Linked DNA regions of Mus musculus. The protein of the gene in region 2 binds, or shares a complex with, the protein of the main gene of each other region. Links are inferred from orthologs where the notes say so. Each region holds a gene or a part of one and is shown on either strand. Other genes may lie near its edges.

The links. The genes of interacting proteins can lie anywhere in the genome.
Region 1: the proteins of Gnas (region 2) and Gpr3 are in contact, whole or in part, in a cryo-EM structure (PDB 9LYB), measured with the Homo sapiens proteins. The link is inferred for Mus musculus from reciprocal best matches to the Homo sapiens genes GNAS and GPR3. Residues at the interface, in NP_000507.1 of Homo sapiens: Gln35, Arg38, Ala39, His41, Val217, Phe219, Asp323, Asp343, Leu346, Thr350, Tyr358, Cys359, Phe376, Cys379, Arg380, Asp381, Ile383, Gln384, Arg385, Met386, His387, Leu388, Gln390, Tyr391, Glu392, Leu393, Leu394; in NP_005272.1 of Homo sapiens: Met75, Arg134, Ser137, Leu138, Tyr139, Ala141, Leu142, Tyr144, Tyr145, Glu147, Ile216, Ile219, Val220, Arg222, His223, Gln226, Ile227, Leu229, Gln230, Arg231, His232, Lys244, Gly245, Thr248, Arg300.

The regions. Positions count from the first base shown.
Region 1 is NC_000070.6:133,208,411-133,214,764, reverse strand, and holds Gpr3 (G-protein coupled receptor 3), read left to right. Parts: upstream 1-2,228; 5' UTR 2,229-2,346; intron 2,347-3,400; 5' UTR 3,401-3,405; coding exon 3,406-4,398; 3' UTR 4,399-5,425; downstream 5,426-6,354. UniProt on the Homo sapiens protein: Constitutively active G-protein coupled receptor that maintains high 3'-5'-cyclic adenosine monophosphate (cAMP) levels that a plays a role in serveral processes including meiotic arrest in oocytes or neuronal development via activation of numerous intracellular signaling pathways.
Region 2 is NC_000068.7:174,295,542-174,301,895, reverse strand, and holds the start of Gnas (protein GNAS), read right to left. Parts: upstream 4,038-6,354; 5' UTR 4,035-4,037; coding exon 1,679-4,034; intron 1,466-1,678; coding exon of another isoform or gene 1,191-1,465; exon of another isoform or gene 337-1,190; intron 1-336. UniProt on the Homo sapiens protein: Guanine nucleotide-binding proteins (G proteins) function as transducers in numerous signaling pathways controlled by G protein-coupled receptors (GPCRs).

The DNA.
Region 1 (6,354 bases), on a different chromosome or scaffold from region 2:
GCCAACCTTGGGTCCTCTGGAAGAGCAACACATACTTTTAACTATTGAGTTATCGCTCCAGTCTCATACTTGAGTGTTTTTGTTTTGAGACAAGGTCTCTCTGCATAGCCCTGGCTGACCTGGAACTCACTCTGCAGACAAGACTGGCTTCAAACTCACAAGATCTGCCTCCCGAGTGCTGGGATTCAAGGCATGCGCCTCTGCCTCCTTTGTTTCCCTCTCCTTGACTGTTCCTGTTATGTTTCATCAACCAACAGATAATAGTAACTGAATACCAATTACATATCAGGCACTGTCCCTAGCACAAACCAAACCTAGGCATTATTGTCACATGCCTTATCCTACAGTGGGACAGCCTCAGACTCCAAGCAAACAGTAAAAGGGAACTAGGGAGAGTATTTTGTTGCAGGAGTTCTGCACACCTGAGAAGATAACAAAGCAAGGAGGGAAGGCCAGGGGAAGGTTAGTCGGTCATTTGTGACCGGTCAGGAAGCCCATTTATGGATGAAATGGCTAAAAGGAGAGTTCTGAAGGGAGCTTGCCCATAGGAGCCTGCAGCAGGAGAGCCCCATCTAGCCTGGTCCCACAAAGGCAGAGCCTCCTGTGACCACTCTTCATTTTCTTTGTGCCCTCCTGTGTTTCCCTGACATCCTCTACTGGCCAGATACACCACTGACAGCCAATATACAGCCCCGTGCTGCTAACGGGCCAACTGCCCCCAGCAGTCCCCAGCCGTTTAGACATGAAAAAACAGCTTCAGAGAGCCTAACAGGGCCTCAAAGTCACAGGGTTCGGAAGCGTGGATTAGGCTTGGAGGCCTGACCTCCTCCACCAGCTGAACTCCCCATATCCCGCCCAAACCCTGCCAGTCTCCAGCCCATGCTCTGTCATCTCTGTGAGGCTATGACGCATTCCCTGACTCCTGGCCTCCTTCCTTTCCTCAGCCTCAGACCGACATCCGACCCCTGACTCCCATCACCCTCCTAAAGTCTTGAACATTCCAGAGACGATCAAAGGGAGAAAGGACAGTACTGGTGCCTAGGGTTAGATCTGATGGGGCATTTCCCTAGGGATGGCGCAGGCAGGTCTAGTAAAGAGCAAGTTTTCTTTCTGCCCCACCCCCTGGGGTACCTAAGCCGGTGCTCAGGAAGGCTGCTCTGAGCACGGAGCTGCCGAGTCCTTCTGCTTCCAAGTTCTTCCCGGCTCCCTATCTCCTGCTGCTTCGGGGAAGTGACCACCCCCGCCCCCCCCCAGCCCTCGCTCTGGCTTTTCAGATCCTTGAATAAATAATTGAGGTTTTGAAATCTTGCCAGGCGCACCCTCCCATGCAGAGAGGACGCTATTGGGTCCACATGAGTGACGTCACCCAGCTCCTTATTCCAACCCCAACATCACGGGACCTGTCCTGACAGCAACTTACCTGCTGGGTCGCTGTCCAGTCAGACTTCCTACCCTGTTCCCTCACTCTGGGGCCCACACACAAGTCATTTGGTCTTTACTTCAGGACCCCACAGCTCTCATTTAGCTTCGTCACCTCAGTCCTTTATAGCACTTAACAGGGTCACAGTGACCTGAAGTTCCTTCACCTGCACACTCATCTCCAAAGCCTTGTCACCACTTCTGTTACCCTAGGGTCCCCGAGCTCCATCATGCTGCAGTCATCCTGACAATGCTGTGGCTGTCCTGAGGAGGCCTACACCCCGCTACCGTCAACGTCCCACAGCCGCCATCCTCCAAGATCCTGTCACCGTGCTCATATCGTCACAGCCACCCACCTCCCTGCTCCCTCGTGCTCCTGTCACCGTCGCCTCGGGGCCCTATCAGAGGCAGAGCCTGTCATCCTCACCGGGGACGCCCATTTCGCTCCATCACCTGTCTTATGTCAGCTCGTTTCTGCCACCGAAGGTACTCATCACCCCCGCAGACTATCCCAATCCCTTGACCTCTTCCCACATCCTCTGTGACCTCCCCGAGTCTCTTTTAAGGCTCTCCCACTAGTGTCCCCAAAACCCCCGACCCGCAGAGGGCGCCGCGTCAAGGACAGAGAGCCGGCTCCGGAGGGGGCGGGGCCGCGGCCACGGTCACTTTTTATGAATGGGGGAGCGGGCGGCGCGAGGCCTCATTACTATGCCGCGCAGCACGCGCTGCGCTCCAGCGCGCAGCGCCCATTGGCCTGCTGGGCTTCTGGCGTCACCAAACCGGTGGCCGGGGGCGGGGCGGGGCGGGGTGACTCACGCCGCGTCTCCCGCGGCCGCGGGGGCTTCTTGGGGTCCGCGCACACCTTGCTCTGCCAGAACCTGAGTGGAGGCGCCCCGCGGCCCGGCCGCACCCGGTCCTGAGCCACCGGTGAGTAGTGGGCCCTGCCGCGGGTACCCGGAGTCTGGGAGGACACAGCGTGCAGGGGCGCCGGGCCGGCGGAAGGCTGCTTGCCCCTGCTCAGGGTCGGGGGGTCGTACCTGGGACTCTGGATGTGCAGAGTCTGCATAAGCAGGCAGCTCCCCAAGTGTTCGGGTGCTCTCGAGTGGTATGATGGGGTGACCCGGCAAAGGGTGAGCATTCCTGCGGGACCTGAGGCCCTAGAGGGACGGGCGGTCATCTGAGGTTGGGAGAACAGGAGGCGTCTGGGGCGGGCACCTAGACGTCCGAGTAGCGGGTGGTGTCTTATTTGGGGCTTCGGCTATCCAAGGCAGGAGGCGGAGTCAGGCCCAAGATCCAGGTGTCCGGGCAGAAGGAGGGGTCTGACTCAGGAATCCGGCTTTCACCAGGGGGTGTCTGCTACGGAGACCCAGTGGTTAGGAGGAAGAAGGGGGCAGTGTGTGTGGGGTGTCTGTCCGGAGTCAGAAGTCTGGGAGAGTGTAGGGGAAATGAGTTCCCAGGTGTTACCCTGGGAATGTCGAGTGGGGGCTGGCAAGAAGCTGCACCGGCTTTGCCTGGGGGCGGAGCTTGAGGCTGGCAGTGCCCATGAATCGTGAGGGGTCTGGGAGCTTCAGGAACCAAGTCATCGTGTCTGGTGGGAGGGAGCTGACTGCTCTTCTTCTTGACGTGTTTCCCTCCCCTATTCATGAGCCTATTGAGGGCACACCTTGAATCCTGTGCTTCCCCTATTCACTTATGGTAAGCTTTGATTCACTTCTTTGACCACGTGTGGCCAAGAGGTCTTCAGGACTTAGAGGAATGGAGGGGAGGGTGAAGGGACACAGAAAAGGGATCACCGAGAAAAAGGGACCCCTGTTTAGAGGCCTGGAGGCATCAGAGGACAAAAACCACAGGACATGAATTGGGGGTGTGGGGTGTGCAGGACATCCGTACCCTACCTGTTATCCTGACAGCTTTCTTTTCTCGAAGGGCCTCCTGTCAGGATACGGGCCTGCCAGCATCTCATAGGACCTTTCTTCTACAGGTACCATGATGTGGGGAGCAGGAAGCTCTATGGCCTGGTTCTCAGCTGGCTCAGGCAGTGTGAACGTGAGCAGCGTGGACCCAGTAGAGGAACCCACAGGCCCAGCTACACTGCTGCCCTCTCCCAGGGCCTGGGATGTGGTGCTGTGCATCTCAGGCACCCTGGTGTCCTGCGAGAACGCGCTGGTGGTGGCCATCATTGTGGGCACTCCTGCCTTCCGCGCCCCCATGTTCCTGCTGGTGGGTAGCTTGGCCGTAGCAGACCTGCTGGCAGGCCTGGGCCTGGTCCTGCACTTTGCGGCTGACTTCTGCATTGGCTCACCAGAGATGAGCTTGATGCTGGTCGGCGTGCTAGCAATGGCCTTCACTGCCAGCATCGGCAGCCTGCTGGCCATTACCGTTGACCGCTACCTTTCCCTGTACAATGCTCTCACTTACTACTCAGAGACAACGGTAACTCGGACTTATGTGATGCTGGCCTTGGTGTGGGTGGGTGCCCTGGGCCTGGGGCTGGTTCCCGTGCTGGCCTGGAACTGCCGGGATGGCCTGACCACGTGTGGTGTGGTCTATCCACTCTCCAAGAACCATCTGGTGGTTCTGGCCATCGCCTTCTTCATGGTGTTTGGCATCATGTTGCAGCTCTATGCCCAGATCTGCCGCATCGTCTGCCGCCATGCCCAGCAGATCGCCCTCCAACGACACCTGCTGCCTGCCTCTCACTACGTGGCCACCCGCAAGGGCATCGCCACATTGGCTGTGGTGCTTGGCGCCTTTGCTGCCTGTTGGTTGCCCTTCACTGTCTACTGCCTCCTGGGAGATGCCGACTCTCCCCGTCTCTACACCTATCTTACCCTGCTCCCAGCCACCTACAACTCCATGATCAACCCTGTCATCTACGCCTTTCGCAACCAAGATGTGCAGAAGGTGCTGTGGGCCATCTGCTGCTGCTGTTCCACTTCCAAGATTCCATTCCGGTCCCGGTCCCCTAGTGATGTCTAGTTTCATCCTGGTGAACCTGTGGCTTTGACTACTATAGAACTCCAGAGTGTTAGGTCCACCAGGGCTTAATTCCAATCCCCAGCTCCACGCCCTTAAGACCCAGCTGGTTCTGGAGTTCTAGGACGTTGGGTGTTTTAGGATCTTATTCAAGATTCCTGCGGGGGGCCCACCCCAGCTGACCGCGTGGCTCTAGAATGTTCCAGATGGTCAGGGTCCCACTCGGAAATGTCTCACAGCCCAAGTGGTTTGCAGTTCCAGAAGGCTGGGAATTTTACAGTACCATTCCAAGTCCTTGATCTTCCTTCCCAGAAACTTGACCTTGATCATGTCGCTTTTGAATTTCGAAGCTCCAGAGTCAGAGGTTAATCACTTAGTTGCCTAGATGAGAGAAAGATTTATCTCTATATATGTGGACATACAGAGAAGGTTTATTTATTTATTTATTATTTATTTATTTATAAATTTGCTTATGGGTGGTAAGGGGGAAAAAAGAGACCTACACCTAGAAATCTAGCTCATATCAGGGTATCCTCAGCCTCCATGACCCCATTTCTGACCTCAGTTTCCGAAGGGGGCGGGATGGAAAAAGAGAAACCACGTATTTTGTTATTTTTGCTTATTTTTTATCAGAGAAATCATAGAAACCAGAGCCTCCTCCCCAGGCCCGCACTGCTCGGGTTTGCAGGGAGAACACACCAGCCTCTGGTTTTTTATTTTTTTAAGAAGCCATCACCTGAGCAACCGAGAATTCCTCTGCGCTGAGGCCCGGCTTCCCTCTGGTGGCCATTTGGGGGAATTGCAAACCGACAAGGCAGTCGGGATTGTAAAATGCACCCCCATCTCTCACTCCAGCCTGGCTTTCAGCGCCACAGCCATGGCCTGGGGGCCAGGCCTTACCCTGAGGTGCCCGAGAGGAGGCGGGACAAGAGCCAGTACCCCCACCCCTCTGCCAATCGGGTTATGGCCCCCAGTGCATTCCTGTTCAGTCCCCAACCCTACTCAATAAAAAAAAAATGGTTTTTTTGGATAAATGCTTGTGTCTGTGCATTTGCATAGTGTGGAGTTGAGCCAGAATAGTGGGACCCATAATGCATCTGGGAAATTAGTATCCCTTGGACCAAATCCTGGACATCAACTTGCAAGAACCTCCCTATCCAGGGACGAGAACCAGGATACTCCTCTTAGTTTGAAGGTCCCCACAGCTTGTCCACAGTAGCCAGATCAGGGCTTAGGCATGCAGAACATGTTTGTACCATGCAAGTTCCCTTCACAGCAATAGCTGCCTTCCACTGTGTTTCCTCTGGGCTACATTGTGCTAAGGGTACATGCCTAGCTAGGATGGATGGCACAGGCTATCTGGTCTCCACCTTAAATGTATGAGAAAACTGCTGAGGTCATACAGCTAGAAATACAAGATAGTATTCAAACCTGGAACATCTGTTTCCAAAACCTGTCCTCAGTCTCCTGGACAATGACTTTTCCTGTTTGTTTGTTTGTTTCCTACCCTGGAGCTCAACCTTCTGGACCTTGCCTTATGTCCTTGGGATCAGTGGCCCACATTTGGGAGGTGGTCGCATTGGAGAGCTGGTGTTCGCAACTGGACACTGGAACTGCAGGGGCTTAGGAAGGGAGGAAGCTCATCGCAAGAGCAGAGGCAGCGTCAAGGGAAGCTCTGAGCTGGGGCCGTACACGCCTGCATTCTCTGTGTTGGAGAGGCAGAAGCCAGAGGAACATGAGGTACCAGGCCACCCTCAGCTACACATTAAGTTCAATTCCAGCCTAAGGCACTTAAACCCTAGCAACACCGTAGCAAGGGTGGAGAAACAAGAGTTAAGAGCTGCTTCTACAGAGGACCTGGGTTCAATTCCCACTACCCACATGGGGGCTCCCAACTGCCTGTTACTCCAGTTCCAGGGGATCGATCCAGCACTCTCTGCTGGGGACAGATACACATGT
Region 2 (6,354 bases):
AATTGTGGAGATTCACTCATGAAGATTTTATTTAAGCTATAGATACAGACCATTGTTAATTGCTGTTTTGATTAATCTGGCAAGAAGAATGAACGACTCAGGTTGGAAATGAGAAGTCTGTGGTGGGAGGGGCTCTGACTGCAGGATGAGGGGAGGGGTTTCTGCGAGGGGAGGGGACATGAAGAGCTGGGGACATGGAGAGCTGGGGAGTGGGCGGTGGAAGATGAGGGCCTCAAAAGGTACCTATCTGGCTGGCATAACATTTCTTTAATCGTCATCCTAAAAAAAAAAATCTTTATTTTTTTTCATCCTCAACTGATGCATAGAATTTCTTACCTTCAGTCCTCAGCTAAAGCTGCTTGAAAAAAAGATCGACATGCAAACATATACACAGTTCACAAGGCTATCCCCAGCTTCCCATGCAGTGTTCACACATTTAGTATTTATTTATTTTTATTTTTAATTGCAATTAAAATACAAAGGCAAGATTGTACTCCCAACATACAACTCCCAACCTTCTTAAACTAGGCCCTTCCTGCCACGAATTGTAAAAATATAAGTGATTGCCTTACCTCGGGCTCTTCGCTAAGGAGAAAATTATTTTATATATATAGATATATATTTAAATCCAGCCACGCCCACTCCCTTGAAACTAACCCTGTGTGTTTTGAATGTGGCCTTGCCAGCAGGGCTAAGGTACCCCCCCCAAACCTTCCTCCTGCTCTACTCCCCCCCCCCCACAGGTGGATCCAGTATGTGTGTGCATGTGCACAGAATACAAAATACACATGTTTTGAACAACCCCAAAGCCCTGAGTGTCTGGTTTTTCAACCGTTAAGGCGGGAGGGTTTGACATACGTATTGAGAAGTGAGGATATGCTTAGCGCAAAGGGGAAAAGAGAGAGAGAGACATACCGGGAAAAGGTTATGGAGGCCCGCGGCGGCAGGCCCCACTCCCCCCAGTCATCGGCCCAGCAGATTACCCAGGATGCCACGCCACCGTTGCCTGCGCGTTTTCCCTCTGCTCGCTGCAGAGAGTCTGCACACAGGTTATTACAGAGTGTACCAGCACGGAAAGTTTTGGCCGCGCCATGGCGCAAATCACAAGGTAACCTATTTTAGAGTACAAATATAAAATCGGCGGGTACGTTGAAAGTGCCTGGGATGGATACTGGGACACACTGAGCATGTCATGCACAGGCGAACACAGAAAATGGACACCAACACACACCAACAACAAGCTGTCTGAGTCGAAGCAGCCGTGCCAGGCGAGGCGGGGGCGCGCACCCGGATGGCCCTAGCCCACCGCGGTCACGAACAATCGAGCCGGGGGAGCCCCGAAGGGCCCACCCCAGCAGTTCTGGGCTCACCTCACGCCCCCGCCTGTCCAGCCTACGATCGCTGGCGCTGGCGCTGGCCTCCGGCCGGTAACGACCCTCAGTGTCGCTCGGCACCACTTTTCTCCCTGGAGGGCATATAGTTCGGCCACCCGAACTCTCCAAAAGGCCCCTCTCCCACCCCAGGGCAGAGTTGGGGGTCCCTCCCTGGAACTTCTAACAGGGTTTCCGGACCCCCTCCTCCCGCGGGCAAGGCCCAAGCCCCACCGGAAGGCCCTGCCACCCCCTCCCCGGGCGGCCCGGGCGGCCCTACTGCCCAGGGGCAGAAGCTGCCGCATTACCTAGAAGCAGCAGGCGGTGTGTACACATGTAGTCCATCTTCTCCTCCTCCAGTTGCTTGTCGATGAGCTTGCTGCGTTTCTTATCTGCGCGCTTCTGCTCTCGCATCTCAATGGCTTCTTTGCGCATCTGTTTGCGCCTCTCCTCCATAGGATCCTTGGCCTTCCCGGGGCTGAGGGATCGTGATCGGGTACACTCGGATAGACCGAAGCAGCTTCCGAAGGCTCGGGTGAAGAAGTTGCGGACTGGGTTGCTCCCGACCGTGTGGCTCCGGGGCAGGCCAGGGCGGCGGTTTCGCCGCAGAAGCCACTGGAAGCAGCCGGTGGCCCCTTCTTCCGACTCATCACTGGAGGACTCGATCTCGCAGATGCCAGACGATGCCTCGTACCTGCAGCAGCTTCGGCCCCGCTCGTACTTGTCAGGCCAGGCAGTCGGCCGCGGAGGAGGCCGCGGAGTAGGCGGGTCAGCAACCTGGATCTCGGGGCTGGGGGGTCTAAGATGGGCCCTGCTGGGGGCGGCAGAGGCTGACCGGCCAGCAGCGACTGCGCGGGCAGCAGAGGCTGCCCGGGCGGCAGCTGCTGCGCGGGCAGGAAGGGATGCCCGAGCGGCGGGAGTAGCTGAGAGTGACCTGGCTCCCCAGACCAGTGGACCTGCATAGGCTGCCCTAGCGGCAGCTGCCCTAGCAGAGGCTGACATTGCTGGGGCGCCAGGGACTGCTCCAGCGGCCGGATGGGCTCTAGCAGAGGGGACTGCCCGGGTAGTGGGCTCCTTGGGGGTGATAGGGGCTGCCCGGGCGGCAGGCTCCGCCAGGGTGGCAGAGACTGCCGCGGCTGCGGGCTCCACCTGGGTGACAGGGGCTGCCCCGGAGGCAGACTCGGCCGTGGTGGCAGGGACTGCCTCGGAGGCTGGCTCGGCGGCTGGATCTCTGCTGCCTTCAGACTCGGACTCGGCAGGAGTGGCTGGGGCGACTGGGGCTGCCCCTCCGTCAGGATCGGCGCGGACAGCTGGGGCTTCTTCGAGTTCTTCAGGATCCGACTGGAGATCTGAAGGCGTTCCTGGGGCTGTCCCGTCTTCTCCGGCATCGCTCTGGCTATCTGTGAGCATCGCGGAATCCGTAGGAGCTCCAGCATCAGATCCGGTAGAGACGGCTTGGGCAGCAGGGGCTGGCTTGGCATCCATTGCTTCAGGCTGGGTGGAAGATCCGTCCCCTCTCTCCGGAGAGGGGACTTTTCCTTCCACCGCAGTGGCGGTGGTAGGGCTTCCTTCCATCTCGGCTGCTTCTCGCTCAACTGGGGGTCTCTCTGCGCACTCGCTCTTATCTGGGGCTCCCGAGACTTCGATGGGCGGGCCATCACTTGCGATTGGGGGGCTGTCCATATTGACAGCGGTGTCGTCGTCGACCCCAATGGAGGCTCTGCCAATCTCAAGCAGGGGTCTGGTGATCTCCATCGGGGGGCTGTCGCATGCGAAGTTAGGAGGAGATCTGACAGCCTCGCGGAATGGTCTGTCAATGGCGCCTCGGACCCAGAGGGGAGGCGCGTTCTCGGCGGGAGCGAGGCAGAGCGCACTCGGGACCGCGACTGTCGGGAACTCGCCGCCAATGCCGATTTGTGGGATGACTCGCGGGAGTCCTGGGGGTGGGCTATCGCCCCCGAATTCTTCTCCACCGACCTGAAATGGCACAGATTCTTCAGGGGGAGGGCTGTAGTCTTCTCGGAAGCCAGCGTTTTCAAATCTGATGTTCCCGGGCTCCGCGGGAAGAGCTCTGGGGACCAATGCTTCCGGACCTCCTGGCGCAAGGTCTGGGACTTGCAAGGGAGGCTGGCTATGGTCTCCCTGGGCAGGCTCGTTGAACTCAAATGGCATAGCTTCTTCTGGTGGGGGGGTATAGGCTCCCAGGCCTGGGCTCGCGCCAGTGGGGGTCCCGGGCTCCAAAATCGCTGGGTTGAAGGCTTGGAGGCCTGATGGGGTCCCAGATGGTCCTGGCTGCTCCAGGGTGGGCCAGAAATCTCCCAGGCTGGGCTGTTGTGTCTCGAATGGCATGGCTTCCTCCGGAGGTGGGCTGTAGTCTCCACCCACTCGGACTTCCTCGAAGGCCTGGCAGGGGCTTTGGATGTCAGATTTGGAGTCTTCTGGGGGTCCACTGATCTCACTGCCAGTCTCGTCGGGGACGGGCTCATTGTTAGACGGTTCGGAGTCCGGTTCGGTCGCCATTTCTTCGGCTGGGCCAGCCCCAGCACCGGGGGCAGCTGCCCCTGGGGCTTCCAAAGGTTCTTGCTCGGGCTGCTCCCCGACTTCAGGGGGGATATCGTGTTGTCCTGACATATTATTGCCGTGGAGGCAGTTGAACATGCCCATAACACGGTGGCGACTTTTCAAAATAAATTTGGGGCCCCGTAAGACGGAGCACCCAGCCAAACTAGGGTGAAAAAAAATTTTTTTTTAAAAAATTCAAATTTTTGTTGGAAAGTTCTCCAGCCTCAGTTTCCAAACTTTGTAAGGATAGATAATCAGGGGCTAGAACCCAGGACCATGGCTGAAGTGAGTCATCTCTTGCTGGTGAAGTCTGTCACCTTCCTAGTTACACTTACCCCTTCGGGCTGTGGTCGGCCAACAACTTTAGGAACTTTTCTGTTCTCTCTTCGTACTTTGCTGTACTTTAGCTCCGCCTTCTTGGCATTTAAGAGCGTGCCGATTCGTCTCGAAAATCGTAAATAGAACTCTTTCTCTGCCGCCAGAGGACGCAGGTCTCAGTGCTGAGCCGGCTCCGGGAGCTGGCTCCCGGTGCCGGCTGCTCCCGACTTTGGGTAAGGGGGCTGATGAGCGGAGGCCTTGTAGGGACGTTCGGCTCCGTCCTCTCCTCTCCCGGACTGATTCCGAGTCTCTCTAGCTCGCTTTTTCCCTGGCCAGAGAGCGAGCGAGCTCTCTTGCGTTGCTGGGACACGTGACGCAAGACGTGGGCATTGGTCTGTTAGAGTACAGACGCTGAAAGCCTCCCTCCCCATCTGATTCTTCTCGAGGGGAGGAGGGACTGCAGGAGGGCTTTATCACCCCAGATTACCCCAGTATGCGGTAAATTCCTTATCTAAGGACCCCACACTCAGGCAATTACCCATACTCATCTCCAAGTCAGGAAATGGAGGCTTTAGGATACAAGGAAAGGGGTAGAGGCACACACACACACAAATGCGACAGGTGGTCGTGAGCCCACCGGAAGGGTAGAGACAGGGTGAGGAAGTGCCGAATGTAAACACGCAATTTGTTTCGTAAATGCTCTAGGGTACTTTTCTTTATTTCTTTTTTTTCCTTTTTTTTTCTTTTTTTAATGTTTATGTTTGCTGTTTGTTGGGGATGGCTCCAGCAAATCCCTTCAATGTCCCCCATCCCCATTACACCTCGGAGCTCTCAACAGTGGTATAGTGTGTTGTAGTCAGGGCTTGCTCTGTTTATATGGACGGTGATGCAGTAGAAATAAAGGTCTCAGCAGTGCACTGCAGAAAATCAAGCAAAGCCCCCTTAGGAGTTATTCATGTTTGCCGCTTTCGTGCAAATAGGGGAGGGGGCTTAAGGCTTACCGGAAGACCCCCCACCTAGCTCAGGTCTTGTACTTCTGTCTTCTGGGTAAAGGCAAAAGGAGATTTGGGGTGTAGTTGATGGCCCATTTAGGGTGGTCTCGCAGACTAGAAAACCTGAAATGCACTTAACCCACCGACCAACCGTGCCATGGTGGCAACAGCTGCCGAGACTCGCATCTTCCAGCCACCAGCGCCAGCTGCGGATTCCGTGTTCATTTCCTCTCTCAAGCCCTTCTCCAGCCCCCTTTTATCCCCTCCTCCTTCTGTTGTGAGCACCATAGAGCATTTGCTATACGTTGAACTGCAACAGTCCACCCAGGCGAAATTAAGCGCGGTCACAAAGCCTGCGGCTGCGCGCCCCTTGCGGTGCCGGGGTGGGCTCAGAGCTGCAGGAGTTTATACAGTCACATTGCCCGGTGGGCTCAGCGAATAATCATAAAATGCTTTAGGTCTGGGATCTGCAGATTATTCCTGGGCAGGGTTTTTTTGTTAATTGTTTGCCTTTGGGGTTCTGTTTTTTTTTGTTTTGCCGCGCGCCCGCGGCACGCGCACACCGCGGACATTTTGCCAGTAGGTAATGGCGATGGCGCGAGGCATTGTCTTTTGTTGCAATACAGCTAGGCAGTGGGCAGGTCTGGCCTGCAGGACCCTGAGAAAAGAGAGTATGAAGTGGTACATAAAGCAGGCTGCGGCAATTATGCACCATGCAGATGGGTATATTGCAAGATGCATGCTGTGTGCCGCGGCAGATTTAATTCTCTGAAGTCTAACATGTCCCTCTTCTCACTACAGGCTCGGCACACTACAGCCCCTTGCCTACAGCGTCCACGTGGTCACCCTGAGTAGAAGAAAGCAGACAAAGTGAACCCCCAGAGAATGCCTGCGACCTGCCGAAGGCGTGTCACCTCAACTCTACGGCTGAACACACTGCATGCCGGACACTTTGAACTTTGGTCCAAAGTTTGGCCAACTACCCTCCCCCACATATACACACACACACACTCAAAATGGCGAAACGGTTTGAACATACACCGAATAGGCCAACTGGGTCTCAACCACTAGCCCACTCCCCTCCGACCCCAGCGACAGGTCAGCTATTGGGC